Macaca fascicularis: one gene and its partners. The protein of the gene in region 2 purifies or fractionates together with the protein of the main gene of each other region. This does not show direct contact. Links are inferred from orthologs where the notes say so. Each region holds a gene or a part of one and is shown on either strand. Other genes may lie near its edges.

What was found.
Region 1: the proteins of PRPF19 (region 2) and KNSTRN purify together in Homo sapiens (affinity purification with mass spectrometry; 4 studies listed by BioGRID and IntAct, counting the BioPlex papers as one, with this or other methods). This does not show direct contact. The link is inferred for Macaca fascicularis from reciprocal best matches to the Homo sapiens genes PRPF19 and KNSTRN.
Region 3: the proteins of PRPF19 (region 2) and CTNNBL1 purify together in Homo sapiens (affinity purification with mass spectrometry; 4 studies listed by BioGRID and IntAct, counting the BioPlex papers as one, with this or other methods). This does not show direct contact. The link is inferred for Macaca fascicularis from reciprocal best matches to the Homo sapiens genes PRPF19 and CTNNBL1.

Annotation. Positions count from the first base shown.
Region 1 is NC_088381.1:16,883,818-16,894,141, forward strand, and holds the end of KNSTRN (small kinetochore-associated protein), read left to right. Parts: intron 1-293; coding exon 294-341; intron 342-2,444; coding exon 2,445-2,550; intron 2,551-2,779; coding exon 2,780-2,873; intron 2,874-3,565; coding exon of another isoform or gene 3,566-3,609; exon of another isoform or gene 3,610-3,680; intron 3,681-4,398; coding exon 4,399-4,460; intron 4,461-5,180; coding exon 5,181-5,255; intron 5,256-6,981; coding exon 6,982-7,110; 3' UTR 7,111-7,751; downstream 7,752-10,324. UniProt on the Homo sapiens protein: Essential component of the mitotic spindle required for faithful chromosome segregation and progression into anaphase.
Region 2 is NC_088388.1:13,368,744-13,379,067, forward strand, and holds part of PRPF19 (pre-mRNA-processing factor 19), read left to right. Parts: intron 1-763; exon of another isoform or gene 764-1,040; intron 1,041-2,308; coding exon 2,309-2,458; intron 2,459-2,634; coding exon 2,635-2,711; intron 2,712-3,292; coding exon 3,293-3,434; intron 3,435-3,517; coding exon 3,518-3,591; intron 3,592-3,707; coding exon 3,708-3,770; intron 3,771-4,627; coding exon 4,628-4,669; intron 4,670-4,798; coding exon 4,799-4,873; intron 4,874-5,238; coding exon 5,239-5,314; intron 5,315-5,476; coding exon 5,477-5,586; intron 5,587-6,855; coding exon 6,856-7,011; intron 7,012-7,266; coding exon 7,267-7,336; intron 7,337-7,568; coding exon 7,569-7,654; intron 7,655-7,922; coding exon 7,923-8,093; intron 8,094-8,244; coding exon 8,245-8,350; intron 8,351-10,324. UniProt on the Homo sapiens protein: Ubiquitin-protein ligase which is a core component of several complexes mainly involved pre-mRNA splicing and DNA repair. Required for pre-mRNA splicing as component of the spliceosome.
Region 3 is NC_088384.1:93,846,903-93,857,226, forward strand, and holds part of CTNNBL1 (beta-catenin-like protein 1), read left to right. Parts: intron 1-3,987; coding exon 3,988-4,176; intron 4,177-8,550; coding exon 8,551-8,657; intron 8,658-10,324. UniProt on the Homo sapiens protein: Component of the PRP19-CDC5L complex that forms an integral part of the spliceosome and is required for activating pre-mRNA splicing.

The DNA of each region.
Region 1 (10,324 bases), on a different chromosome or scaffold from region 2:
GTTCCCAGGTGAGTGAGGTTGACATGAGATAGCCACGCCATCTTGAGAGGAGCAGCTCTGTCAGGATGTTGGGGTGGTCGGGGTCATGCCCCGGTGCTACTAATAAGCCTTTTCAATAGTCTGTGCTGAAACAATAATGCATAGTCCCTCAGAGCTCTCAAGCTTGTGCCATTTGCCTTGTATGTCATCCCTGGTTCTTTCCTCAGAAACTCAAGTTCTTTGTTCTGCCTGTTCACTGCACACTTAACAGTACTATGAGTCTCTGATTCATTTCTTTGTTTCTGCCCTCCTAGGCAAATGAAAGCTACTGATACCACCACCAGAAGGAATGTCAGAAAAGGGTGAGCATCAGGGTAAATCAACTTGGCCACTGTTCTAGGGTAGTGGATCTCAATCCTTGTTTCTGCATCAGAATCACTCGTGGGACTTGTTTACTGTGTTAGGGTCTGGGTTCCACCTCAGGAACCTGCGTGGAATTTTCAGGGGTGAGGCACAGCTAGGTGTAAGAACCATTGTCAGTGCAAGAATCAGTGGTGCTACTATCTTGAGTCTCAAGCAAGAGCTTTTTGGACTCTACGCCAGGACCACTGTTGATCAGAAATCACACTTAGCTATGGCCCATCAACAGGAGGGTGAAGCCTTCAGGAGAGGAAGGGCTGCCTGTAGTTAGTGATCTCGAGATGAAGATTCTGGTGGTGGTGAAATCCGGGAGAGAAGGTTCATCTCTCATCTTTGAGGCTAGCTTCGAAGTTTTGCACTATCAGAAATAGAAATAATACGCTGAAAAGTCTGTACAAATAGGTTTTAGTTCCAGATCTATTATTTGGGCTTATCCTAAGAGTTTTGAAGATAGCAGGGCACAGTGGCTCATGCCTATAATCTCAACACTTTGGGAGGCCAAGGCTGGTGGATAACCTGAGGTTAGGAGTTCGAGTCCAGCCTGGGAAACATGATGAGACCCCATCTCTACTAAAAATACAAAAATTAGCCGGGCGTGGTGGCGCATGTCTATAATCCCAGCTACTCAGGAGGCTGAGGCGGGAGAATCACTTCATTCCCAGAGACAGAGGTTGCAGTGAGCCAAGATCACATCATTGCACTCCAGCCTAGGAGACAGAGCGAGACTCTGACTTAAAAAAATAAAAAAGTTTTGAAGACAAAATACTAGCAATAAAGACTGAGGCCAGGCGCGGTGGCTCAAGCCTTAATCCCAGCACTTTGGGAGGCCAGGACGGGCGGATCACGAGGTCAGGAGATTGAGACCATCCTGGCTAACACGGTGAAACCCCGTCTCTACTAAAAAGTACAAAAAACTAGCCGGGCGAGGTGGCGGGCGCCTGTAGTCCCAGCTACTCCGGAGGCTGAGGCAGGAGAATGGCGGAAACCCAGGAGGCGGAGCTTGCAGTGAGCTGAGATCTGGCCACTGCACTCCAGCCTGGGCGACAGTGGGAGACTCCATCTCAAAAAAACAAAACAAAACAAAAAAGACTGAGAACGTTAAGAAAAAACTCTAGGCCCGGCGCAGTGGCTGACGCCTGTAACCCCAGCACTTTGGGAGGCTGAAGCGGGCAGATCACAAGGTCAGGAGATCGAGACCATCCTGGCTAACATAGTGAAACCCCGTCTCTACTAAAAATACAAAAAATTAGCCGAGTGTGGTGACAGGTGCCTGTAGTCCCAGCTACTTGGGAGGCTGAGGTAGGAGAATGGCGTCAACCCGGGAGGCGGAGTTTGCAGTGAGCCCAGATAGCGCCACTGCACTCCAGCCTGGGCGACAGAGCGAGACTCCATCTCAAAAAAAAAAAAAAAAGAAAAAAGAAAAAACTCTAATATTGGTGATATTAGAGTTTATTAGATGATAAACATTATATTATTTTATTACATATCAGCCCAGCTACTGGGCTAAGAAATGCACATGGGTTTTCTCTCTTATTAATAATAATACTATGAGATGTAGGTATTGTCCTAATTGCCAAAATGAGGAAACAGGGCTTCAGGGAGCTTATGCAACTCACTGAAGGTCATAACCACTATGTAAATAGCCAGGATAGGAACAGGACGTGTTTGTGTAACTCTGTAGGCCATTTTTTTTTTTTTTTTTTTTTTTGAGACGGAGTTTTGCTCTTGTTGCCCAGGCTGGAGTGCAATGGTGCAATCTCAGCTCACACAGCCTCCACCTCCTAGGTTCAAGCGATTCTCTTGCCTCAACCTCCCAAATAACTGGGATTACAGGCATGCGCCACCACGCCCAGCTAATTTTTGTATTTGTAGTAGAGACAGGGTTTCTCCATGTTGGTCAGGCTGGTCTTGAACTCTTGACCTCAGGTGATCTGCCCACCTCAGCCTCCCAAAGTGCTGGGATTACAGGCGTGAGCTACTGCGCCTGGTGTAGGCCATGCTCTTAACCCTTTTGTCTTTTCATGTAAGTACAACTGTTATTACAGCTACAAACCACTGAGTAAGCAAAAATCAGAGGACGAGCTCAAGGACAAGAACCAGCTCTTAGAAGCCGTCAACAAGCAGTTGCACCAGAAGTTGACTGAAACTCAGGTAAGAGACCCACCAGAGCTCTGTTACCAGCTGCCACTGGGCAATGCACATGGAATCCTGATGGATGGCCCCTTGGGTGAGCAAGCTTGTTAATGCACAAATGCCCAAGGGCAGAAAAAAAAAAACAAAACAGGCTTTTGCTATGGCTGTCCAAGAGCAAGGGCAAGAAAGGGCGACCACCCCTAGGGATTGGGACAGTTCCTGATCTGTCTGTGCGGTGCTCCAACAGGGAGAGCTGAAGGACCTGACCCAAAAGGTAGAGCTGCTGGAGAAGTTTCGGGACAACTGTTTGGCAATTTTGGAGAGCAAGGGCCTTGATCCAGGTAAGAGATAGCACACAGCTAGCTGTCTTTGAAGGGATCAGTGCATGTGTCCCTTCCTGGGTTGATCTTGGCAGCATGGCATCAGCTGGCCCAGTAAGTGCAGGGGTTACTTCAGTAAAGCCCTAAAGATTTTGGAGGGCTTCTGTTTGTTTTCATGTGATGTTGATTTTTGCCTGGCCAATAGAATTTCAGAGGATTATATAGAGAGAAGGTTATCTCTTTCTTACCTGAACACTTTATGCCAACAGGTATGACCTTGCAAGTAGATGAGAAATATTTTGTTCCTTTCAAGGGAGAATATTTTCTGTCTCTTCCCATTTGGGAAAGTTACTAGTGTGCTTGAAAGGAACATTTTGTTTGAACATGTTCTTCCTCGCAAGCATACTAGTAACTTCTCAAATGGGAAGAGACAGAAAATACTACTTCAAGCATTCTTAAACCTGGCTAATCAGTAGAATTACAGTGACTAAAAAATGACTACTGTTACCCTGTCCCCCAGAGAGCAGAATCTGTAGCAAAGAGAGCAGTAGAAAGAATTGTCCAAAGACTGTAAGAGGGCCTCAGCCTGAGTCAAAGAGCTAGAGAATGCCCAGGAAATGGGCCCAGGCCTTTTTGTATTAAGGAATACTGACTTTGAATGTTACTGGTTAATCTTTAGGTTACAGGTGAGGATATTCTTTTTTTTTTTTGAGATGGAGTCTCACTCCGTTGCCCAGGCTGGAGTGCAGTGGCGTGATCTCAGCTCACTGAAACCTCCTCCTCCTGAGTTCAAGTGATTCTTGTGCCTTAGCCTCGTGAGTAACTGGGATTACAGGCATGTACCACTATACACAACTAATTTTTGTATTTTTAGTAGAGACAGGGTTTCGCCATGTTGGCCAGGCTGTTCTCAAACTCCTGACCTCAAGTGATCTGCCTGCCTCAGCCTCCCAGAGTACTGGGATTACAGACATGAGTCACCATGCCCGACCTGGGATATTCTTTATAGTCACTGTAAAATACATATTTTTAAATTTAAAATTTTTTTTTTGAGATGGGATCTCGCTATGTTGCCCAGGCTGGCCTCCAACTCCTGGGCTCAAGCAATCCTGAGTAGCTGGGACTACAGGTATGCGTCACCACAACTGACACCATAAATATTTTGTATGATTTTAATTTATTACATGCATGTGATATTACCAAAAGTAATAATTTTTAAGGCCTGAAAGGCTCTTAAATTGTGAACAAAACCAAAAAATCCAACCTATACATTTCCTTTGGACAAATTGTCCACTGACCTAAGGAGAAAGTATACAGAATTTTTGGCCATATCCAAACCTAGATTGAAAGGAGATAAAATGCAGTTCTGCAGGGCAGATGTGGGTGACCCTGCCAAGGTGAAAACTTGGGAGAAAGTCCAGGATTAGACACTTAAGAGAAATTCCCCTCATGAATATTTCTGTACTTGTTCATGGAGGGTTTTTATTTTTTTTTGGTTTAAAGTGTGTAGTTCCCTAAGTGAAGTTGACTTTGTTGTATCCGTCAGCTTTAGGCAGTGAGACCCTGGCATCACGACAAGAATCTACTACCGATCACATGGACTCTATGGTGAGGGAATGGGTGCGAAAGGGCACAAGGGCTGAGTGACTGTGGGGCTCTGTAAATCTAAGAAGGTCTCTGCTATATGTTCCATAAACCCCAAGAAACAACCTTTGATTATCTGCGATGGTAGAAAAGAGAAATGGAACATGCACTCAAAATAGCATATTTTACTTGAAAGGTAGCTTTGTGCTTACAAATATAGGTAAGTCTGAATTGAAAATTTAAAACACGTGGGGCCTGGCGCGGTGGCTCACGCCTGTAATCCCAGCACTTTGGGAGGCTGAGGCGGGTGGATCACGAGGTCAGGAGATCGAGACCATCCTGGCTAACACAGTGAAACCCCGTCTCTGCTAAAAAACACAAAAAACTAGCCGGGCAAGGTGGCGGGCGCCTGTAGTCCCAGCTACTTGGGAGGCTGAGGCAGGAGAATGGTGTCAACCCAGGAGGCAGAGCTTGCAGTGAGCTGAGATCTGGCCACTGCACTCCAGCCTGGGCGACAGAGCGAGACTCTGTCTCAAAAAAAAAGAAAAAAAAAAAAGAAAAAAGAAAATTTAAAACACGTGATAGGTAAACCTGTAGAGAGAGCTTTCTGGTTCCTCTGTTCTATACTGTATCAAATTTCCTGACTCCTTTGTTGAGAACTGTGTGGAAGGGATGTTAGCCATCATCTAATGCAGGTCTGGTTTTATATGAAGATTTGTTTACTACATTGTACTTTCCTCTTAGTTGCTGTTAGAAACTTTGCAAGAGGAGCTGAAGCTTTTTAATGAAACAGCCAAAAAGCAGATGGAGGAGTTACAGGTGAGAGGCAGACATCACCCTGACCATTTTCTACCACGATAGGTAGATTTCTTTCCTGTTTTTCTTTTTATTTTTAATAAACTTGCTAAATAATTTTAGATTTATAGGAAAGTTACAAAGATAATACAGAAAATTTACCCTGATACTTTTTTTTTTTTTTTAAATTTCCAACTTTTAAGTTCAGGGGTACATGGACAGGGTGTGCAGGTTTGTTACAAGGTAAACATGTGCCATGGTGGTTTACTACACAGATCATCCCATCACCTAGGTATTGAGCCCAGCATCTATTAGCTATTCTTCTTGATGCACTCCCTCCCCCAACCCCCAACAGTAACATCTTACATTATCCTGGTACATTTGTCAAAACTAAGAAATCAGCCAGGCATGGTGGCTCATGCCTGTAATCCCAGCACTTTGGGAGGCTGAGGTCGAAGGATTACTTGAAGCCAGGAGTTTGAGACCAGCCTGGGAAACATAGCAAGATCCCATCTCTGCAAAATAAAATTTAGAAAATAGCCAGGTGTGGTGGAAGGCAGAGGTTGCAGTGAGTCGAGATGGTGCCATTGCACTCCAGCCTGGGCAACACAGCAAGACTCCGTCTCAAAAAAAAAAAAAGTATGAATAAACTAAGTTCATACCAATAATGCCTATCTTGCTGGGTGGTTATAAAAGAGAATTATGTCTAGTACCTAACCCAGTGCCTAGCAAAGGTACTCACAGTATATACTTTTTTTGAGAGAGAGAGAGATGGTGCATACCTGTAGTCCCAGCTGCTCAGGAGGCTGAGGCGAGAAGACCACTTGGGCCCAGGAGGGCAAGGCTGCAGTGAGCTGTGATCATGCCACTGCACTCCGGCCTGGGTGACAGTGAGACTATGTCTCTAAAAATATAATTTTTTTTTTTTTTTGAGATAAAGCCTCGCTCTTACCCCCAGGCTGGAGTGCAGTGGCATGATAATCGGCTCACTGCAACCTCCACCTCCCGGACTCAAGAGATTCTCTTGCCTCAGCCTCCCGAGTAGCTGGGATTACAGGCGTTTGTGACCACGCCCGGCTAATTTTTATATTTTTAGTAGAGACAGGGTTTCACCGTGTTGGCCAGGCTGGTCTCGAACTCCTGACCTCAGGTGATCCACCCGCCTTGGCCTCCCAAAGTGCTGGGATTACAGGTGTGAGCCACTGCGCCCGGCAGGAAAAAATTGTTTTAAAAAAAGAGACCAACATCAGTACATTACTATTAACTATATTCCAAGTCTTCATTTGGATTTTTTAGCAGTTTTTTCCACCAATTTTTTTTTCTTTCTGTTAGCGAGGCCTCTTAGAAATGTTCACATTGCCAAGGCATGAGGCAATGTGTAACACAGTAGGTTGCTCAGAGTTGGGAATTGGGAACTGTATGTAATCCTTTCTATGGAAACTTGATGACTTGAGGAGGAGACCTGTAGTAAACACAGATTCTTTGGTCTGGACTGCTTCAGATTGCTTGGATGAATCATGGGATATTGCCCCAAACCTAGAGATACAGGAGTCTAGTCCCTCTCTACTACTAGGGGGACAATTCCTAAAACCAGCACGTAGAAGCAAAATCTAAAATAGAAGATACAGTCTCTGTTGATACTCCAGCGGTCTTCCTTAGTGGAACAGGAGCATAATGTGGGTATTGTGTTTCCTGTTAGTCAAGAGTTTTGTGTATGTGTTGTTTTCCTTTGGAATGTCTTTCCATGCAGGCCTTAAAGGTAAAGCTGGAGATGAAAGAAGAAAGAGTCCGATTCCTAGAACAGCAAACCTTATGTAACAATCAAGTAAATGATTTAACAACAGCCCTTAAGGAAATGGAGCAGCTATTAGAAATGTAAGAAGAAGCAAGTGGCCAGATGGCTCCCTCTTGGGCATAAACTCTCAGAGGAAGCCACTTAGGATATCATCTTGGCCATGATCTTCTGGGACTCACCATCTCCAGAATGAAAGCAATTTCTACAGTAGAATTAAGGACAGTTTATGCTGAAATGGCAATTCCTCATTTAAGCAAGTTTTCCCAACCTTCAGGTTGGTCAGCCCTCCTGAGCCTCACAGGTGGATAATTGAGGCCTACAAGAGAGGGGGGCCTAGGAGCTTGGATTGACCTTCTAGTCAACCACCTGATTCCAGCACACCATTATAATCCGGAGACTAAACCAACAACCAGAGGATCTAAAAGGTCACATTCAGATTTTCAGGAAGAAAATCTTCATTACAGTACAGCACAAGTGTTCCGTACAAGACCATTGAGGAGCCATGCTGTCCCCTTCCAACCTGGAACACATTCTGTCCCATCCTGGTTGGGCTTCTGTACCTCCTTATTAATTTATGAACCTGAAGTTGCTTGAAGTGTTTTGGGCTTAATAAATGGGGTGAAAGTATAGGTAGCAGTAACACCTACATGAAACAATACACCTTGGAGCTTTAAATTACTTTTTTTTTTTTAAGTCTACTTTTAAAATAAATACTTCTGTAAATATTCTGACTGTAACACTGAGGAATGAAAATAACCTTTTAACCTAGATATGTTAGTTGATCATTATTGAACTAATTTAGTTAACAAGTCCAAGATATTCTGACTTAATCTAGAATATTCTTCTGCTACTCTTTAAGAACCCTGTGGCTAGTCCCTCTGTCTCCGAAGAGCATTGGCTAGTCTCCTGAGGGTGCTGCCCATTTGTAGCAGTGGTTTCACCAGGTCTGTGGCCACTTGCTGCCTGTGTTCTCCCTGCACTTTTTTTTTTTTTTTTTTTTTTTGAGACAGAGCCTCACTCTCACCTAGGCTGGAGTGCAGTGACGTGATCTCGGCTCACTGCAACCTCCTCCTCCCGGGTCAAGCAATTCTCCTGCCTCAGCCTCCCGAGTAGCTGTGACTACAGGGACGTGCCACCACGCCTGGCTAATTTTTAAGAGACAGGGTTTCACCATGTTAGCCAGGATGGTGTCGTCTCCTGACCTCATGATCCGCCCACCCTGACCTCCCAAAGTGCTGGGGTTACAGGTGTGAGCCACCGCAACTGGCCTTTTTTTTTTTTTTTTTTTTTGAGACAGTCTCGCTTACTCTATTGCCCAGTACAGTAGTGTGATCTCTGCTTACCACAACCTCCACTGCCTGGGTTCAAGCGATTCTCCTGCCTCAGCCTCCTGAGTTGCTGGGATTACAGGCGCCCCATCCCCTTACCATGCCCAGCTAATTTTTGTATTTTTAATAGAGGTGGGGTTTCCCCATGTTGGCCAACTCCTAACCTCACGTGATCCGCCTGCCTCAGACTCCCAAAGTGCTGAGGCCGGGCATGAGCCACCATACCCTGCCATTTTTGTTTTTTTTTTTTTTTTTTTTTTGAGACGGAGTCTGGCTCTGTCACCCAGGCTGGAGTGCAGTGGCGCGATCTCGGCTCACTGCAAGCTCCGCCTCCCGGGTTTACGCCATTCTCCTGCCTCAGCCTCCCGAGTAGCTGGGACTACAGGCGCCCGCCACCTCGCCCGGCTAGTTTTTTGTATTTTTTAGTAGAGACGGGGTTTCACCGTGTTAGCCAGGATGGTCTCGATCTCCTGACCTCGTGATCCGCCCGTCTCGGCCTCCCAAAGTGCTGGGATTACAGGCTTGAGCCACCGCGCCCGGCCCATTTTTGTATTTTTAATAGAGTCGGGTGGGGTTTTGCCCAGTTGGCCACGCTGGCCTCAAACTCCTGACCTCAAGTAACCCACCCGCCTCAGCCTCCCAAAATGCTGGGATTACAGGTGCGAGCCACTGCGCCCAGCCCTACCTGCACTCTTAAGCATGATTATCTGCCTGCTGTTTACTTTGCACAGCCAATCCTAGGCCTGGTCCCATAGATCCTTGAGTCCATGGCCTGAAGTCCATGACAGGCTTCCCCACTGGGGAAGGCTTCCCCACTTTGGTAAACACCAAAGACATGGCCAAATTTTTTTCTTAACCAAACTAGGCTGACTTTGGCCATCTCCTGTTCTTTCTGCACCTCCTAATTTCTTCACCAAGCCCTCCCACCCCCACCCTTCAGCATCTTTAAGGCTGCCCAGAGACACCCAGTGAAGCCAGTAACACTCCAACCCGGGCTTAAAGGGCCACAATTGTTTGCCTTCTCGTACAGAGTTCACAAAGTTGGTTATGTTTCAAATATTTTGAGCCTATCCACTAAAAACTGGTCTTTGGCAAATTCTCAAACTAAATTCATACCAGTAAAACTGGTATGAACAGGCTGGGTGCCGGTGGCTCACGTGAGCCTGTAATCCTGGTACTTTGGGAGGCTGAGGTGGGTGGATCATGATGTCGAGTTTGAGATCAGCCTGACCATCATGGTGAAACCCTGTCTCTACTAGAAATTCCAAAATTAGGTGGGTGTGGTGGCGTGCGCCTGTAGTCCCAGCTACTCAGGAGGCTGAGGGAGGAGAATCTCGAACCTGGAAGGCAGAGGTTGCGGTGAGTCGAGATGGTGCCATTGCACTCCAGCCTGGGCAACACAGCAAGACTCCGTCTCAAAAAAAAAAAGTATGAATTAACTAAGTTCATACCAATAATGCCTGTCTTGCTGGGTGGTTATAAAAGAGAATTATGTCCAGTACCTAACCCAGTGCCTAGCAAAGGTACTCACATCCTGGTGGTGATATTATTAAAGTTTAAAACTTATCCTGGCAAACGATTCCCTTCATAAACTTCCCCCAAACTTCAATTCCAGTGTCCCCTTCTCCCCACTCCAAAACACAGTTGCTGATCTTACCATGCCTTTGCAGGCCTCAATTCAACTTCCTTCTGACCTGGGAACTCTCAACTTTGACTCTTAAGTTCAAATTACAACCTTCTTAAAACATAAAGCCAAAACCCCACCCTCATCCCCTCCACCTACCACATACACTATATTCACAGCCAAATATCTCAAGAAGCTGTTTCCTTACCATTTTCTTTCTCTGCCATTCTGGCTTCAAAGTACATAGGAACACTATGGTAATGTAGCTACATTAGGCGGATCCATCCAAAGTAGAATATAGATTACCAAGGACTGAGCAGGAGGGGAAGGGAGTTTCTCTTTGGGA
Region 2 (10,324 bases):
GCCCTCCCCTCGGAGCGGGGTGCATTTGCGCAGTGCTCCGCAGTTTACATAGTGCCGGAGGTTTATTGTCGCAGGCATTACTGAGGCAGGTCGCCTCATTCTACCGAGTGGAAACAGGCCTGGACAGAGGGAGCTGGTGCAGGGGAAACAGCCTTGATGTAAGAGTCAGGAAACCCGAGGTCTTGTCCAGGGTCCGCCTCCTGTTGGCTTTGTGAATTGGCTTAAGGCTCTGTGCCTCGGTTTCCCCATCTGCAAAATTGAGAGCATTGCACTGGATATTTTGTGAGGCCTTGCTCGGATAGTCGCAGCTTTTGCAATTTGTAAAGGTCACATGATGAGTTAGAGGTAGGCAAGGCTGGCAGCTAGGTATATGGCTCCCAGCCTTACAGTGTATGACTAATTAAAAACAGCGCACATTTATAAAGCCCTTATTGGTTTACAACGCGCTTCCAAGTCTAGGATCTCATTTTATCCTCACAAGAATTCCCTAAAGGAGAAAAGATCCTGGTGTTGCAAATGAGGAGGCAAGGCTCAGGAAGAGCGGGGCTTATCTAAGAATGCGTAGCTAGTCAATGGCAGAGCTGGGTGACGTAGTTAGGTGACACGGAGTTTGGAGCCTGAATCCTTGCTTTTTCCATACCTTCCACTATCTTTCCCTTTGATATTTTATCATGACGTACATACGTTTTCCTTTCCCTTTTCGTTGTTTCATCAGATTACTCGTTTCCCCTCCCTTTTGCTATTCACCTCCGTCTCTTCTCAGAACCTGTACGTTGATCCAGAGAGGGGGAAGAAGGAAGGGAAATGATGGAAAAGGAATCTCTCACATTGAAGAAATTACAGCTCGCAAAGTACCTTCACATTCATTGTTTCCTTCCAGTCTTGGGAAAGCTCTCTTTTACGTTCCCCAGCACTATCTTTCCTGGCAGGGTTCACTCATTCGTTAGATGTTTACCGAGTGCCCTGGGGGCATCTGCATTGTACTGGAAGTGAGAGACCAGCTGTAATCCTTATCCTCAAGGGGCGCACAGTCTATGCAGGCAAGAGTGTAAATGATACCTCTATTGCGGGTTGTTGTGAACATGAATTACTGTACTGTATGCCTAGAATTGTGCTTGGCACATAGACATGTGCCATGTAAATATTTTTATTGTAATGATTGCCACTTTGCTCCTTGGAATCTTCCAGGTGATAAGTGTCTGCCTGTATCCTAATCAGTTGACTGGTAGCTGGCAGACGTCAATAGCTTCAGGATGGGGACTGGTCACCTAGAAAGACTAAAGGGTATTAGAAAGTTGGGATTTTCAGTCCTACCTCCCACTTACCTGGGGAACGAGAGGGGCTGAAGTTGTCACTAGTGACCAGTGATTTATTGAATCATGCCTTTGTAATGAAGTTTTCATAAAAATACAAAAGGGCAGGATTCAAAGAGCTTCTGTATAGCAGAACATGTGGGCGTTCCTGGAGGGTGGGGTGCCCAGGGAGGGCATGGGAAACTCTGTACTCCTTCTCCCATACCTCATCCTATGCACCTCTTCATCTATACCCTTTGTAATATCCTTTATAATAAACTGGTCAACATAAGTGTTTCCCACAATTCTGTGAGTCACTGTTGAAAATTAATTGAACCCAAAAAGGGGGTCATGGGAACCCTGATTTACAGCTGGTAGATCAGAAGAACAGGTCAAACAACCTGGAGCTTGCGATTGGCATCTGAAGGGGTGGGGGAGTCTGGTGGGACTGAGACCTCAACCCGTGTGATCTGACACTATCTCCAGGTACCTGGTGTCAGAATTGAATTGGAGGACACCCGGATGGTCACATCTGTCACAGAAGTATTTTGTTTTGTGAGAGAATGGGAGAAACTGAGTTTGTTATTCCTATATTCTCAGACTTTATGATTTCTTTGATAATCCCTCTGGAGCTATAGACTAAGATGGATGGAAGGGATTTGAATGGCTTCATGTGTGTCTCCATGTCATGGAGTAAACTGTATTCATAGAGTACACAATCATTGTTCAGATATTAGGTGGCGATAATGGACTGCTGTTCTCTAGGTGCTTGGCACATAGTAGTTGTTAATAATTATTTGTTGACTATCTGATTGTCAGGAGACTAAAGGAAAAGCTAGTTCCACAGCTGGAAAGCGTTCTGGGGCCAGTACAGAACTGGCTTAGGGTCAGATGTCTTGCTTTTTGCTAGTTGATTGTGAGGATGCCTAGTCTTGTTGGGGCTAATAGCAGATGAGGAATCCTCTAGGCTCAAGATTGCCTTCACTCCAAGCTCACTGCCGGCCTTTTCTCTACAGTCTCTAATGAAGTGCCGGAGCACCCATGTGTGTCCCCTGTCTCTAATCATGTTTATGAGCGGCGGCTCATTGAGAAGTACATTGCAGAGAATGGTACCGACCCCATCAACAACCAGCCTCTCTCCGAGGAGCAGCTCATCGACATCAAAGGTGCCTATTGGCTGCCTTAGTCTAGGGCCATCTTAGCTCAGAGCCTGAGAGGATGGGAGGTGGTGCCAATGCACTGGAGGAGGAGATGGTGGGCTGTTTATGGCTAAAAGGAAAAGATGTGATGGCAGGGGAGGTCCCTGGGTTATGCTCTTCATACCTACTTTCCCTTTCGGCAGTTGCTCACCCAATCCGGCCCAAGCCTCCCTCAGCCACCAGCATCCCGGCCATTCTGAAAGCCTTGCAGGATGAGTGGGTGAGTTCCTGCAAGAGAATTAGCATCTTCCCCACTTGAAGAGAATGCATCGCTGAGTTAGGACTTGGGGGTGGGAAGGATGGAGAATTATTTAGATAATCATCATCAGGGTTTTGTGACATCAGGGTTTTGTTTTATTCTTTGTTGTATCCCCAGCACTGAGAGCGCCTGGTACGTAGTAGGTGCTCTAGAATTATGAACTGAATGATTGAATACATCCTGCAGGACTGTCTGGCACAGTGCCTGACACAAAGAGGGCAATCAATAAATAGCAGCAGCAGCAGTGTTGTTATCCACTTTTAGAGAGGTGACGGCATGACAGCTGGAATTTGCCAGTAAATTAGGGAAAGTAGGGATGGGAAAGAGCTGACTGCCACTCCTGTCTGTGTGCCCAGTGTTTGGCTTGGGGTAGGAGCTCAAGAGTGTCTGCTGGCATATTCATGGTGCTCGGATATTGTTTGGGTCACTGATACTGGTCTAGGCTGTGGGATAGGAGGCAGCATCCACTCCCCAAGAGCTGGCTCCACTGGGTGCTCCCTGCGCCCCCCGCCTCAGCTCACAGTAATATTTGCCTCTCCCAGGATGCAGTCATGCTGCACAGCTTCACTCTGCGCCAGCAGCTGCAGACAACCCGCCAAGAGTTGTCGCACGCTCTGTACCAGCACGATGCCGCCTGCCGTGTCATTGCCCGTCTCACCAAGGAAGTCACTGCTGCCCGAGAAGGTGCAGCCTGCCCCCTGCCATCCCCCACCCTGAGCTGGTTCTGCTTTGTAATATCCCATTTCTAACATCGTCTTTTCTCTCAGCTCTGGCTACCCTGAAACCACAGGCTGGTCTCATTGTGCCCCAGGCTGTGCCAAGTTCCCAACCAAGTGTTGTAGTAAGTGTCCCCCTTCCCTTACCACAGCCCATTTGTGTGCAGTGGCCCACAGAGCTGTCCTTATGTAGGTGTCTTTGGTGCTCTGTGCCCCTCACCCTCACCTTTCTTCTCTTCAGGGTGCGGGCGAGCCAATGGATTTGGGTGAGCTGGTGGGAATGACCCCAGAGATTATTCAGAAGGTAAGTCCTGCTCTCACCTGGTGGGAGTGCTGATGGGCCCTTACTTTTCCCCATCTGTCTAGAGTCCATCGTGACTAAAATCGCTATGCTTTTGGGAGTTGAGTGGTGCAGAGCGTGGATTCTGGGCCCAGATTGCCTGGGTTTGTATTTTGATGCCACTACTTGTAAGCTACATGACCTTGGCTTCCTTAGCCGATTTCCAAGTTTCATTTCTGTAGCTTCTAAACTGAGAATATAATAATATCCACTTTATAGGCTTGATGTGGGAATCTAAATGATTTAATTACTGATAAGTGCACCTTTTAGCCCTTATTGTTTTGGGTATTATTTGCAGATAGTAAACTACTTTTATATATTTTCTTGCTTTTTTTCTATGAGGGCAATAGGACAGGAATTATAATCCTTATTTTACAGATGAAAGACACATCAGAGGCAGAGCTGGGCTCCTGATTGCAAGTCCAGTGGGATTCTCATTTGCAGGGCTTTTTAGTGTCTTTCTGAGCAGTTCAAATTGTCAGCATGTGTCTGAGCCCTTGGCTGAGTGGCATGTAGACCTATGGGAGCTCTACAGTCCTGGCCTCCATTCCTGCTCTGCTATTTATCACCTCTGCAACCTTGGGCAATTGACTTCACTTCTCTGAGGCTCAGTGTCCTCAGCTGTAAAATAAGGTCATCAACACCCCCCTTATAAAGCTGGGATGGAAGTAAGAAGAGAGAATGCCTTTAAGCCTGTAATGTAGAAATTGGCAGATAGCAAATTCTGGGTGTTGCTTGTGAAAGCACAGGTGTGACCAGCATCCAATGTGCTTTTCTCCTTGCAAGATAATTTGTCTCACATTGAGCCTATTCTTCCCCAGCTTCAAGACAAAGCCACTGTGCTAACCACGGAGCGCAAGAAGGTGAGTTCTCTTTTGAAGCCAGGAGAAAGAGCTGGCCTGGTGGGAGGCAGTTGACCCCTTAGGAGAAAGGGGGCTGGCTGATCTTGGATTCATTGCTGCTGTACTTTGGGGGCTTTTTCATTTTCTCAGAGAGGGAAGACTGTGCCTGAGGAGCTGGTGAAGCCAGAAGAGCTCAGCAAATACCGGCAGGTGGCGTCCCATGTGGTGAGTGTCTGGGTCTTCACTGTCTTGGAGACAGCCCTCCTGTTTTGTGTCTGGGGTGGGTGGGCCAGCATGGGGAGTGCTGAGTACAGAGCTGTCCCGGGCTCCTGGCACTGTTCCTGGCGCTGTTTCTTGCCTGGGCTGCTGAGCTGTCAGGGCTCCTCTTCCTGCCCAGTTGTGGGTTTCCCAGTGATGCAGTGAAGGAGTTACCGCAGCAGGCAGATAGCCAAGAGATATGGATAAGGAGTAGAAGTAACTCTTGCTCCCCTGAGAACATGGGTGACTGGGGATGGCAGTAGGGGAGACCTGTGGCTTTGTGGCCTGCTGTGATTTGGCTGTGACAGGGTTTGGTGTGTCTCTCTGCAAAGGGGTTGCACAGTGCCAGCATTCCTGGGATCCTGGCCCTGGACCTCTGCCCGTCTGACACTAACAAGATCCTCACTGGTGAGAGTCTGGGCCTAGCCCAGCAGGCCAAGGTGGGGAGGGGCAGCGGGGAATTTGCATGCGCCTTGTCCTCTTCATGGGCATGGGGACAAAAGCATTTCCTTCAGCAAAAGGGCCTGGGTGGGCCTGACTCATTGTATGGTCTCTTTGGGTCTTCTCCAGGTGGGGCAGATAAAAATGTCGTTGTGTTTGACAAAAGTTCGGAACAAATCCTGGCTACCCTCAAAGGCCATACCAAGAAGGTCACCAGCGTGGTGTTTCACCCTTCCCAGGTAAGGGGTTCTTGCCACCTTTGGATCTTCTTTCCTTGGCTGTTGTTTGTCCCTCGCCCCCCTGCTGTCTCTGTGAAGTGGGGCTGAGAAAGAGCGCTGACTCCTGAGTGGGCACTTGGAAGGGCTTCACTTTGGAGTTGTGGAGATTGCCCTTCACTCTGCGTGAGACCTTCTAAAGCAGTGGTCTTCCAGCCAGGGAGAGAAGGGAAATGTGTAGTTTGACAAGCATATTCATTGAAAAGTTTTATATTAGGGAAAGAAAAAATCTTATAGTGTTCGTCATATAAACTACAGAAAACAAAGCTCAACTCAATCTCAACTCACAGGTATGAGGAAGACAGATGTATTTGCTTTCTCATGACCCTCCGAGACGGGTTAAAGTCATGTTGACTATTGAAAGTGGTGTGGGTTGTAAATAGAACCTCTGGTTTATAGGATAAAGGTAACTCATGGGACTGGATTAATGATATTATGGGATTCGAATTTCAAGCCTAAGACAGTTTGGGTTTGGGGCTGCAGGACAGTGGTTGGTTTAGCGCTTCCCAGTCGAGCTTTCCCTTGGACCTTAGGGAAATGAGAAATGTAAGAATGACATGGTGAATTTTTCATGACTAAATTACTCAAATCGAGGGCACTGTTTTCTTGCTTATGGGGTATTAATAGTTAGGTCTCATGAAATTGTATTGATAAAGATGGTAGTTATTTTTGCCTTGTGGCTTTTAATATCCTAACTAAACAAAAAATTGGTGAGTGAGTGATACGAAATTCTCTCCCTGCCCCAAATCTTTTGGAAAACTAACTTACCCTGGAAATCCATAAATGTGGGATGCACTGAAATACAGCCATGCAGCCCCTTCGAGTCCCCGTACTGCCCAGACCTGTGCCATACAGTACAGTAGCAATTAGCTACATGTGGCTACTTAAATTTCAATGAAATAGAATAAAAAATTCAGTCCCTCAATTATACTAGCTACATTCTTCCTTTGGTCCTGGAAATGGGAAAATTGCTCTCTGTTGCAGTTAGCCTTTTTACCACTAGATGGCGCGGACGCCTCCACAAGCCCTGATGATGTATGAGTTACGACTTGAATAGCGTTTACCATTGGCTGTTGTGGGCACCTTTGGGTGGGTAGGTGGTTCCAGGGAGGGCAGGGCTGAAAGGTGAAGCAATTGTTGGTAGTTTTGGGCATCCCCTGCCTCCTTTTATAACATTGTTTTGATCTGTGTCTCTTCTCTGACTCTGATACTCTGTCTTTGTTTTCCTTGTAGGACCTGGTGTTTTCTGCTTCCCCCGATGCCACTATCAGGATTTGGTCGGTCCCCAATGCCTCTTGTGTACAGGTGGTTCGGGCCCATGAGAGTGCTGTGACAGGCCTCAGCCTGCACGCCACTGGTGACTATCTCCTGAGCTCCTCCGATGATCAGGTGCGGTCCCAGCCAGTGCCCTGGAGAGGCTTGCTGGTCCCCAAGCTTGAACATCCTGGGTGGCGGGAACATCTTCCCACCCCAGCTGCTTCCCCAGAACCTCAAAGGAGAATGTTTCCTCTCTGCTGGGAGGTGCTAGGTTTGCCAGGGTTTACCAGACCAGGGGCTCTGTCTACCTGAAAGGCCACCAAAGCCTGGGACCCACTTTCTCACTGACTCCATTCTCTCTCTCTCTCTCTTTTTTTTTCCCCCCAGTACTGGGCTTTCTCTGACATCCAGACAGGGCGTGTGCTCACCAAGGTGACAGATGAGACCTCTGGCTGCTGTAAGTTGCCTCGTAGGCGCTCAGCCTTTTTGTTTGCTATTTATTATTTACTTTTACATTTTATTTAGTCGTTTGCTTATTTGTTCTAAAGATACATTTACCATCAGCACCTGCCTAGTGCAGGCTTTGTGCTGGGTGCACTGAGGACCGTGAAGAACAAGGAACCTAACTTTGCTGCTCTTAGTCTCTCCCTGGTGGGCTCTGACCACAGGTCCGTCTTCCTCCTCCACAGCTCTCACCTGTGCACAGTTCCACCCTGATGGACTCATCTTTGGCACAGGAACCATGGACTCTCAGATCAAGATCTGGGACTTGAAGGTAGGACACGGTGGGCTTCCATCTGAGGCCCAGGGCCAGAGCGGGTGTTTGTGACAACGTGGTGCTGATGAGGTGCTTGTGGCACCTGGCACTGAAGGGGCCATCGCTGGCTATGCCTGTGTGATATGATGGTGTGGTCTGCGGGGTCCCGCTGGCTGGCCTTCCTGGAAGGACAGTGAGGGACATCTCAGGTAGGGGTTTGGTGAGCTCCATTTTCTTCCTCTCATGATCTGTGGGTGACGTGTTTTACTACCCACCACCACTGTAGGAACGTACTAATGTGGCCAACTTCCCTGGCCACTCGGGCCCCATCACTAGCATCGCCTTCTCTGAGAATGGTTACTACCTGGCTACAGCGGCTGATGACTCCTCTGTCAAGCTATGGGATCTGCGCAAGCTTAAGAACTTTAAGACATTGCAGCTGGATAACAACTTCGAGGTATGCCCTTCCCCCGCCCCACCCAGCTTTCCATTGTGTCTCCTTGTTTGTCGATTATTTATTGAATTAATCTAATTGCTTCTGCTTATCCGCAATTGCCCCATAGTTTCTGTTCCCCTTGTGTGACCTTCTCTCTTTCTGTTTCTGGCAGGTAAAGTCACTGATCTTTGACCAGAGTGGTACCTACCTAGCCCTTGGGGGCACGGATGTCCAGATCTACATCTGCAAACAATGGACGGAGATTCTTCACTTTACAGGTAGAGGCTGGTCCTGGGCTCCTGGGGTCTCTAGGTGCCCAGGCCCGGAGGGAAGCCTCACTGGGTTAGGAATTTCTAGGACTTGCATGAATTTACCTAAGCAGCTTTCGGTTACCACCTGAGGCAGAGCTTTATGGCTAAGGAAGCAGACTGAGTCAGACTGCGTGGCAGTGGATGCTAGTAGTCGCTCTGCCACTTCATGCCGTGTGGCATTGGGCAGGTTACTGAAGGGAGAGAAAACTCCTCCCTCTGAAGGTTTGATAACTGAATCTGAAATCAATGAACATTAGGCAGAGTGACAGGAGGAAAGCCATTTTAATGACGTGCATATGCATGGGAGGCCCACATTATATTAGACCTGCAGAAAGGTCAGATGATTGAAGCTTATACAGTCTATATATCCTTTAATAATGGGGATATGTTCTGAGAAATGTCTTATTAGGTGATTTCATCATGTGTGACCATTGTAGGGTGAACTCACACGTATCTGAATGGTGTAGCCTGCTACACACCAAGGCTGTTGCTATAACCTTAGTGTAGTCTATTACTGCTCCTGGGCTGCAAACCGGTACAGCATATTACATGTAGTGAGTACAGTTATAACACAGTGGTGAGTATATGTGTATCTAAACCAATCTAAACATAGAAAAGGTTCAGTAAAAATAAGGTAGAAGAGATTTTTTAAAAATGGTACACTGGTATATTGCTTGCCATGAATGGAGCTTGCAGGACTGGAAGTTGCGTTCAGTGAGTGAGTTGTGAGTGAATGTGAAGGCCTAGGACATTACTGTACACTGCTGTGGACTTCATAAACACAGTGCATTTAGGTTTTACTAAATTCATAAATAGCTTTTTCTTCAGTAATAAGCCTTAACTGACTTTTACTTTATAAACTTAAAAAAATGGATTATTTTGTAATAACATTTAGCTTAAAACAAAAACACATTGTACAGCTGTACAAAAATATTGTCTCTCTACATTCTTATTCTATAAGCTTTTTTCTGTTTTCTAATTTTTTTAATTTTTATTTTTTACTTTTTAAACTTTTCTTATTAAAAACTAAGACACAAGCACACATTACCCTAGACCTACACAGGATCAGGATCACCAACTGTGTTAGTCCGTTCTCACACTGCTGTGAAGAACTGCCTGGGTAATTTATAAGGGAAAGAGGTTTAATTGACTCCCAGTGACTGGGGAGGCCTCAGGAAACTTACAGTCATAGCAGAAGGGAAAGCAAACACATCTTTCTTCACATGGTGACAGGGGAGACAAATGCTGAACAAAGGGGGTAAAGCCCCTCATAAAACCATCAGATCTCGTGAGAACTCACTATCATGAGAACAGCATGGGGGTAACCACCCCCATGATTCAATTACTTCCCACTGGCTCCCTCCCACAACACGTGGGGATTACGGGCACTACAATTCAAGACGAGATTTGGGTCGGGGCACGAAGCCTAACCATAGCACCAACATCACTGTCTTCTACCTCCACATCTTGTCCCACCGGAAGGTCTTCCGGGGCACTAACACACGTAAACCTGTCATCTCCTATGGATGATAATGCCTTCTTCTCGGATACCTCCTGAAAGGGCCTGCTTGATGCTATTTTACAATTAACTTTTTTTTATAAGTGGAAAGGGTATGCTTAAAATAATACCCAAAAAAGTATAGGATAGGCATACCTTGTCTTATTGCACTTAGCTTTATTGTACTTTGTGGATACTTTGCTTTTTATAAATTGAAGGTTTTTGGCAACCTTGCCCCGAGCAAGTCTGTCAGTGCCGTTTTTCCAACAACATGTGTTCACTTTGTGTCTGTGTGTCAAATTTTGGTAATTCTCACAGTATTTCAAACTTCATGATTTATTGTGTCTGTTATGGTGATCTCTGATTAATGATCTTTGATGTCGCTATTGTAATTGTTGGGGGGGCACCATGAAATGTGCCCATATAAGATACTAAATCGATAA
Region 3 (10,324 bases), on a different chromosome or scaffold from region 2:
TGGAAGCCTGGGACTGGCAGCTGATTGCTTGAAGACCCTTCAAGCGTTATGACTCTTTAGTAAGTTATTTGTTGAATTAATGATTTAAAAAGTATTGTTTTAATGTAACCAAGGTCTTATGTGACATATTTATAGGTGAATGTTCTTGCCTGAAAAGTCCTCAGATCTGTCTCAGTTAGGGTCCTGGAATCTTGGCAGATTGGCGTTTTCCAGAGATCAGATTCACCTTTGAGAAGGGACCAGGTTGTCTTTGCCAGAGTTTATTAAAAGATCTTAGGCATCCTGTCTTCCTGTTATAAAATAGAGCTGTTAACTGCTTCTCACTGCCAGAGATGTGGTGAAGATTGAAGTTCTGCAGAAGAAAAGTGCCATTTTAATGGGAATTAAATAAATGAAACTCCTCCCCTGAATTTTTTTTTTTTTTTTTTTTTTTTTGAGACAGAGTCTCGCTCTGTCGCCCAGGCTGGAGTGCAGTGGCCGTCCTCCCCTGACTTCTGAAATGTTTGTTTTAAAGGAGAGGATTGGAGGATGTGTTTAAAGAGACATTGCTAGTGTATTTTTCTATTTTGCATTTCTTAACTGTGGCAATATTTAGCTTTCTCCTTTTAATTGTGGCCCACTAACTTTTCTTTCTCTCCTCGGAGATAAACAATCTAGAAATCTCCTTTCCGTGGAGAACTATGGAGCTCATGCCTTGACTTGGCTGCTGCAGTAGGCTCACGCTAATCAGAATCGCAGCAGGGCTTCTTTTATGAGCTTGAAAGAATTAGTCTTCCCAGAGGGCTGAAGTTCCTTACCTGCTGAGGAGCTACAGATTTCCGGTTGGAAGGCTGCCCTCCTTTAGGATGAATCTACCTTCCCTTCCTCTTCTTACATGAAAACCACCACCTCCTTTTTTATTTGTAGCTTGTCTGTGGTTACTGGCATGTTGCTTTCCTTTTTATTTTTCTTTTTTAGGGTAGAGTAGTAATGATGATAGTAGATTTTTGTAATTTTTGTCCTTATGGAAAATAGAGTGTGTTCATATGAAATTATCATCTAGCTCAGGGAGACTAGGAAGAGAGTGAAAAATAGCAGGTGGTACCCTACAAACTAAATTGTCGAATGTGAGTTTTCTCAACAATGTCATATGCTCAGACTTACTAAAGCACCTGGGATGTGGAGCAAGCAGGAAACATGAATAAAGAGGGGAATGCCTTTCTACCACTGGCAGAGTACAGTTCAATAAAAGTCAAAAGGGAAGATGTGTAACATGTATAATAGAAAATTTTCTCTTATTACCAAACAACTTAGCAGGCTGGCAGTGAAAGTGGCATTTTCTTCTGTTTGGTAGTAACGGACCACATTGCACCAAGCATATTGCTGGTGGGTGTGATTACTATATCAGATAAAGAAAATCTCATTGAAGAATCTAACACAAATGTTTTGTTGGAGAAGACAGAATCATGTGGATTACCTCACAGTGATGATTTTAGGTATTTGTTCAATACCATTATGGTTTAGAATTCTTTCACTTGAAGTTCACAGAGGAAAGAATTATAATGTCCATTTACAGATAAGGAAACTAAGGTTTAGAGAGGTAGGCGACCGGCCCAGAGTCGAATCAGGAGTAAGTTGAGCTGAATGGAGACACTGGGCTGTTTGGTGTCTGGGCAGTGCTCTGTCTCTTCAGCTCTGAAGCCCCTTTCACTACTGCTCTGTTTTATTCTAATTTAATGGAAAACAACACTAAGAACTTCTTAATTGATTGCATTGTAAAAGGCAAAATGAGCTGGCTGCAGTGGCACACACCTGTAGTCTCAGCTACTCAGAAGGCTGAGGCAGGAGGATTGCTGGAGTCCAGAAGTTCAGGTCCAGCCTAGGCAACATAGTGAAACCTCATCTCTAAAAAGTAAACAACAACAACAACAATAAAAGGCAAAATGAGGTCCTAACAGAGTACGGTAGAAAGGTCCTTGGCCTAGGAGTCTGGAAGTGCCAGTTCTGTTTTCAGGGGTGCGTTAATGGTTTTGTGATCTTATGTAATATTTGGCTTCTGGGCTTTTATTATTATTATTATTATAATATTTGATTTAAAAACTTTTAATTAGCAAATAATTGTATATATTTATGGGGTACAAGGTGGTATTTTGATATATGTCTACAGTGTGGAATGATTACGTCAAGCTAATTAACAAATCCATCACCTTTAATATTTTTTCTGTGGTGAAAATATTTAAAATCTGTTTTATCAATTTTTAAATGTACAGTGCATTATTTATTATATTCAGCATACAGTGCAATAAGTTACTAAAGCTTATCTTCCTGTTTAACTGAAACTTTTCTTTTCTTTTCTTTTCTTTTCTTTGAGACGGAGTTTCTCTCTTGTTGCCCAGGCTGGAGTGCGATGGCACGATCTCAGCTCACCGCAACCTCCGCCTCCCAGGTTCAAGCGATTCTCCTGCCTCAGCCTCCCAAGTATCTGGGATTACAGGCATGCACCACTACGCCTGGCTAATTTTATATTTTTAGCAGATACAGGGTTTCTCCATGTTGGTCAGGCTGGTCTTGAAGTCCCGACCTCAGGTGATTTGCCCGTCTCGGCCTCCCAAAGTGCTGGGATTACAGGTGTGAGCCACCACACCCAGCCTTACTGAAACTTTATACTCTTCAGTCAACATTTCCCTCCATTCCCTTCCTCCACAGCCGCTGGTGACGATCATTCTGCTCTCTACTTCTATGAGTTCAGCTTTTTTAGATTCTACATACAAGTGAGATTACGAGGTATTTGTCTTTCTGTGCCTGGCTTATTTCGCTTAGCTTAATGTCTTCCAGTTTTATCTAGGTTGTCTCAAATGTCAGAATTTCCCCGCTTTTTAGAGCTGAGTAGAATTCTATTGTGTATATATACTTTTTAAAATCCATTCATCTAGTGACGGACACATAGGTTGCTTCCATATCTTAGTTATTGTGAATAACGCTACAACGCACAGGGCAGATATCTTCTCAGCATACTGAATTCAATTCTGTTGGTTACATACCCAAAAGTGGGATGGCTGGATCATATAATAATTCTGTTTTTAATTTTTTGAGGAACCTCCATCTGTTTTCCATCATGGCTGTATTTATTTGTATTTCCACCAACAGTGCACAGAGTTCTCTTTTCTCCACACCCTCAACAACGCTTTATCTTCTGTCTTTTTCATGATAGCCATTCTGATAGGCGTGACATGATAACTCATTGTGGTTTTTCTTTGCATTTCCCTGGTGATTAGTGATGGTAAGCTTTTTTTTTCATGTATCTTCTGGCCATCTGTATATCTTCTTTTGAGAAGTGTCTATTTAGGTCCTTTGCCCAGGCTCTGGGCCTTAACTCAACTCTTCTGTAAAATAGAATTGGGAGTGCAGTAGACATTCAGAAGTTACATATGTAATATTTTATATTTGGACTACTTGTGAGTAACTGTAGAGAAAGCTTTGTAATCTTTCATAGATGTGAATTAAAACCAGGTGCTAAGAGGTTGACATTGGGAGTTATATCTTGACTAGTACATGAGCCTAACCTGGCGTCGCCATCTTAAGATAGCTTTGTTGCTATTTCCATATACATAGGAACTTTTGTGAAATGGCAAAACTGTATATAAAAAAATTCCCACTGACTTTCATGGTATATTTATAGAATCATTAAGGATCTGAAAAATGACCACATAGAGCTTTACTCCATGTGGTGGGAGAAATTGTATGCTGGCTGCTTTTGAGTCAGAGAATTCTTGAAAGCTTTTAGGATATTTGCTGTCTATGCCTTGCAAAGTCTTTTTTTTTTTTTTTTTTTTTTTTTTTTTTGTAGAGTCAGAGTTTTACCATGTTGCCCAGGCTGGTCTCAAACTCCTGGGCTCAAGAGATCTGCCCTCCTTGGCCTCCCAAAGTGCTGGGATTATAGGTGTGAGCCACCATGCCCAGCTTCTATGTCATGTCCAGCTCTAAAATCCTGTGTTTCTTTTCTCTCAGCCCAATAGGGGCACAAAACGTCCCCGGGATGATGAAGAGGAGGAGCAGAAGATGCGTCGGAAACAAACTGGTACTCGAGAACGTGGCCGCTATCGGGAAGAAGAAATGACTGTGGTGGAAGAAGCGGATGATGACAAAAAAAGGCTGCTTCAGATTATTGACAGAGATGGGGAAGAGGAAGAGGAAGAGGTAACATGGCAGCGATGGGTGGGAGCTGAGATGGCCGGCCCTATAGAATGTAATTTTGGGCCAAATACTCAGCTTGTCTGAGCTTCCCATCTTCATCTGTAAAATGGGGTTAAGAATTCATATTTCATCGCGTTAATGTGAAGGTTAAGTGGGCTAGGGCAGTTGGGAAAGCATCTTGTGAGATGTAAAGAACAAGACAGAGTTTTCGAATTATCCAGGCAGGCTTCCTGGATCTTACTGAGGACACATAGAAGGCACTTGTGTTATTACCTTTGAAAGAGGGATCAAATTTTATCAAGTGGAAGGAAGGGCTTTTTAGGCAGAGAAAATGGTGGTATTAGCAAAGCAACAAAAGTGGAGAAGTTTAAGGGGGTGCCACATTGTTAGATATTTAGATGTGACTGCAAAAGTACAGCTTAGGGAAGGAGACTCCTCAGGGCCTTTCTCTTTGCTGTTCCCCAAGATGCCTTGGGGCTTTTCCACTCATTCCTGCCTCTGGACCTTCGGACCTCTGTGCCCTCTGTTGGAATGCTCTTCTTCCTTGATGCTTTGTATGGCTGGTTTCTTCACATTCAGGTCTCAGTGAGATGTTTCCTCCTCCAAGAAGTCTTTCCTGTGTAGCCCTGCAAGCCGTTCTCTCATTCCCTCATCACTGTGTTCTGTATATTGTCTGCACAGCACGTATCATGATTTGAAATTCTAGTTGTTTATTGTGCTCATTGCTGTCCTCCTCCCAACCTCCCATGAAAACAGAGACTGGCTCTGTTCTGTTCACAGCTCTATCTTTGGTACCCAGAGCAATACCTAGCTCTTGGTGGGCCCTTAATAAATATTTATTGAATGAATAAATGAAGCTGGGAAGAGTGGAGGTAAAATATCAGTGATTAAAAACAAAATGACCTTACCTCTGTGTCTTTTTAAATCTTTAAGTGTTAACTTGTATGTTATTTCACTCTGGCATTTTGTTCAATATGAATTATGGAAATAGAGTCTTAAGAGCCAGCTGTTTTTTGGTTCCCTCAAAGACACGATGCTAAGTTTGGATTTAAAAAATGAGGCTGGCGTGTGAATCTGAGAAGAAGAAAAAATGGATTCATATTCCAAAAAGGTCTTTACTGTGTTGTGACAGTAGCTATTTCCTTATTAGGATTTGTACTAGTGTTAATTTGGGGGTCTGCCCCTAAAAGATGATGGCACTTTAGAAATATGTGGTGGGAGACAGTCCTGAATTTTTGAATTTCCTCTCTGAGGGCAGCAGCCTTGCCAGGGCTTAGACAAACAGTGTGTGTAGCACATCCTCCCTCCTTTCCCTCCTCACCAGCTTCTGCTCAATCTGTTAGCCCTGCAGCAGCAGTTAATTGGCAGGTATAATTCCCATGTAGGGCAAGGCTGGTACTGGAGGATTAGGATAGTAGCTGTCATGGGTAAGTGGTTTCTAGCCTGGGAGACAGAAATGTAATGTGGGACCAGCCCTTCTGTTAAGGGACAGGGAAAAAGAGATCACTTTGTAAAAATGACACATGGAAGGCTACAAGTCCAGGAGTTATTTTCTCACTGCCACCAAAGTCCCATTTGATGAAAAACAAGTGATGCTTGCCCCTGTAAAGTCACGTGAACTTGTAAAATATTATTGTCCTTTTTGTGCTACATCACCAGCATTCATCTTTCTGAAATCTCCCTCTGGTTTCTGACGTTGAGCTATTGGAGATACTGCTGTGGCTGATGACTAAGACTGATAATTCAGTTTCCCCCAGTGTTGGAGAGAAATTAAAGGAGGGAAGGCCAAACTCTGGAGAGGCTAGGACTTCGGAAATCCCGTGAGAGCTGTGTTAACACTAATGTGGTTTTTCTCCAGAGTGGGGCACGATGTTAGCTAAGAAAAAGAAAAGTAGCAGATATTGAGCTTGCTTGAAAGTGATTTAACTCTTTCCTAGAAATGTTTTGATTATTTTGGTTAAATTCTAGTGGGATGTTGGGTACATTGTGCCTGTTGCTAATAATAACCATAACAGCTTGCATTCATGTAGTTTACAAAGCACTTTTATGTACATATTTTCTTTAGGTCATCTCTATGACCTTGAGAGATACAGGTAACATTTTCATTCCTCCCCTCCCTTCCCCTCCCCTCCCCTGTCCTCCCCTTCCCTTCCCTCCCCTCCTCTCCCCTCCTCTCCCCTCCTCCCTTCCTCCTTTCCTCCTTTCCTCCTTTCCTCCCTTCCTTCTTTCCTTCTTTCCTTCCTCAGATCTTCACGGAGTACCTGCTGTGTGCCAGACACTGGAGAGTCTACTTGTGCCACAGAACAAGTAGACATGGGCTAGCAATGGGGGTCTTTGCCCTGGTTTGGGGTTGGAGAGATTATCTGGGCAGATCCTGCCAGATCCTTACATAGATCATGTGAGGGGTTTGGGATTTTATTCTCAGTGTGTGGTGGATGAATTCAGGAAAGATTTAGGAGTTAGAATTAGCTGGACTTGATGAAGCTTTGAGGAATATATTCAGCAAAGTAACATTGTCACATGGCTAGTAAGTAGTGAAATTAGGCTCTGAGTCTTGACTGAGCCAGGACTCTGACTTGTTTTTACCACATCAGGGAACCTCTCTTTAAGCTGTAGACCCTGGGGAGGAGGTAGGGGTTCGATAGAGAACCTTGGGATCTAGGAATCATTGGTATAATCTAAGAAATGTGTCATGCCGAAAATGAATTTATGGGTAGCTCCCACTTAAAGCCCAATATGTGGAAATAGAAATTTAATAATAGAATAATAGCTAACATTTTTGAGTACTTATAAAATTATGGGATGATTCAGTGCTTTCCAAAAGGATCTATTTCAGGTTCTCTTAATAGCAGTTTCTTTATCGCTTTTAGGCTTGAGTTATGGTCAATGACTACAAAGCTGTGAAGCTTTGAGTTGGGATAGTATTGAGAGAAGCAGGGTGCATTGCAGCACACTAATTTAAACTGGAAGGTAAACTGAAGATAAAATGTGTGAAATTTTAGTGTAGATTTTTTGGAGAAAAAATGATTTAGTTTTCAAATATTCATTTTATTTGCTTTCATAGGTATTATTCCAATGTATGGAGCCAGAAAATTCTGTATGGTCTACTAGCTTTTTTCTGCATTCTCTAGGCAGGGTTACTAAATTCTTGATGCTACTTCAGGATTCAAAGTACCTGTCTGAATTCCTTCTCAGCATCTAGTAAGGACCAGGCAAAGTAATATATAAGAAATGCTAAGCAGTGACTGTAGCTAATTAACAACCATTCTTAGTTAACGCACTGTACAGAAACAGGCAGTAGGTTGGATTTGGCTCATGGGCTGCAGTTTGCCAACTTCTGCTGTAGGAAAAGATTAAGGGTCACTGTCACTGACCCAGAGTTTGACCTTAAACAATTCTTTTAAACCTTTCAGTCTTATCTTACATGGATAGCAAAGGAAGACAAGGTAAATGTATAATAATATTATCTAATATTGTTGCTTACTCTGTGCCACACAGTGTGCTCAAGAAATGTTTGTTGAATGAGTGAGTCTTTAACACCTTTTCTTTTTTTTTTTTTTTTGAGATGGAGTCTCCCTTTGTCACCCAGGCTGGAGTGCAGTGGCACAATCTCAGCAACCTCCGCTTCCGGGGTTCGAGTGATTCTTGTGCCTCAACCTCCCGAGTAACTGGAACTACAGGCGTGTGCCTGTATTTTTAGTAGAGATAACGGTTTTTCCATGTTGGCCAGGCTGGTCTTAAACTCCTGACCTCAGGTGATCCACCCATCTTGGCCTCCTGAAGTGCTGAAGTGCTGAAGTGCCCAGTCAGTGTTTAACACCTCAAACTGAATTTCCTGTGTTACAGATAGTGGGCATTATGTGAGACATCGAAAGTGATATACACAAAAAGAAACATGTGATTACAGGCCCTTAATCCTCATTGTAATCGGGGAGATAAAGTGTGTACTGTGGCCGGGCACAGTGGCTCACACCTGTAATCCCAGCACTTTGGGAGGCTGAGGTAGGTGGATCATGAGGTCAGGAGATCGAGACCATCTTGGCTAACACAGTGAAACCCCGTCTCTACTGAAAATACAAAAAAAAATTAGCCAGGCGTGGTGGCATGTGCCTGTAGTCCCAGCTACTCAGGAAGCTGAGGCAGGAGAATTGCTTGAACCTGGGAGGTGGAGATTGCAGTGAGCTGAGATCGTACCACTGCACTCCAGCCTGGGCGACAGAGCCTGACTCCATCTCAGAAAAAAAGGTGTGTACTGTACATTTAACCCAGAAAGATCAATGGCAGAGTGAGGTGGGGTATAAGAGCCACCGGAAAGTAGTGACAGTGAATGTGAAACCCCTGGGGACTGAAGTTGTTGCATTTGTCTCTTTGTACCAGGAGGAGCCATTGGATGAAAGCTCAGTGAAGAAAATGATCCTCACATTTGAAAAGAGATCATATAAAAACCAAGAATTGCGGATTAAGTTTCCAGACAATCCAGAGAAGTAAGGTTCTGTTCTACTGACACCCTGTCTCCTCTGTGGCGTTTCGTTGGCTACTTTTGTTTTGGGTTTGGTTTGTTTTGGCTTTTGTGATTGGGGCCAGGAATCCCAGGATGACCTCCATGTTTGGGAAGTCACTAGAAGGACTCCTAGGACTCAAAGTCAGTGATACTCAGGGCTGTGGTTTATTACACAGGGCACACAACGCGATCAGCAAGGGAGAAACACAACATCAGGTGGCGTCTGGAGAAATTCAGATACAGGCTTCCTATGTTTTTTCCTTCCCAGTGGGTGGGATCATACAGACATGCTTCTTTCTTCAGCAGTGAAATGCAAACATGTGTGCAGTGATACAGATTGAGACTCTGAGTTCAGGGTTTTTATGGAGGACTGCTCATGTAGGCATTCTCTGCCAGTAATAACTAACAAAATTGCAGGCTCCTGGAAGGAAAGCAGCTGTTCAGTGCCCTGGGCTGACAAAGCAGCAACCTTATCACTTAGGGAACATTTCAAAAGCCAAGTTCCTGGCTGCCAGCCTAGGGCCAGCCTTGTAAGCCAGCCCTTTTCAAGATCAGCCCTGCTATGTTAACTCTCCTGCATTATTCTTTTCAATGCCCAAAGAAGACTGATCGTGCCTGCCATTAGTGATAGCTTTACTGTGGAGATCATGTCAAAGACTCTGAAGTTAGACAAATATTGGTGTGATACACACATGCCTTTGAATAAGTCACTTCCCCTTTCTTAGCCTTGGGTGTCTCATCTGTATAAGGAAATAATGCCTTCCTCACAGAGTTGTATGAAGATTAAAGGAGAATAATGGTAAGTGTTTAGCTTAGTACCTGGCACATAGTAGGTGCCCATGAGATGACAGTTAACGTGAGTTTTACTGCACTAGCACCTTGGTGCACTGTGAAGTGCTAATATGAGGAATCTGGCATCTTTCAGTCTGTCTTGAATCCTAACCAAGGGGACTTTCACATTTATACAGTTTTAATGTTCTAAACCTCTCTTTCTCTCCCTATCTTTGTCCCTCCCAGGACATACAATTTTAATGAATCTTAATATGCCCAAGGCCCCCAGGCAATTAACAGTTGAGTAGTAAAGTCTTTGCACTCAAGTTTATAGGTTACTAGGGAGACTGACTATAAAGGCAAGGTAGAAGGAAACAGACACTTGAAAAGAGATATGAGCAGAGTTCTGTGGGTGCTTAGAAGAAGAAACAGTATATACCAAGTTGGGAGCTATTGAGGGCGTCACAGAAAAGATAGTAGTTGAGTTGAGCCTTGAAGATTCATTTTTATTAGGCAGAAAAGAACACAGAAAGGCATGCCAGGCAATATGAGGAGCATGAACAAAGGCCCAGAGGTGTCAGAGGGCACAGAGTCTTCACGGCAACCTAGTGAGGCCAGCGTGGTCAACTGTGTTGTCCCTATGCTGTGAATGAGAAGGCAGGGTGGGGAGAATGTGGTTACTGGGCCTAGGGCCACAGCCCTCTTTGATAGTAGGAATAGCTATTAATAGAGCAGGGCCCAGCTTACCCAGCACCAGCGTCCTTTCAGGTTTTGTACTGGTCTCCACCATACAGGAGCACTGTGTGTGTGTGTGTTTGTGTGTGTGTGTGTAATTACACGAGTAATGCATGAATAGATTGTCATTCTGAAAATACCAGT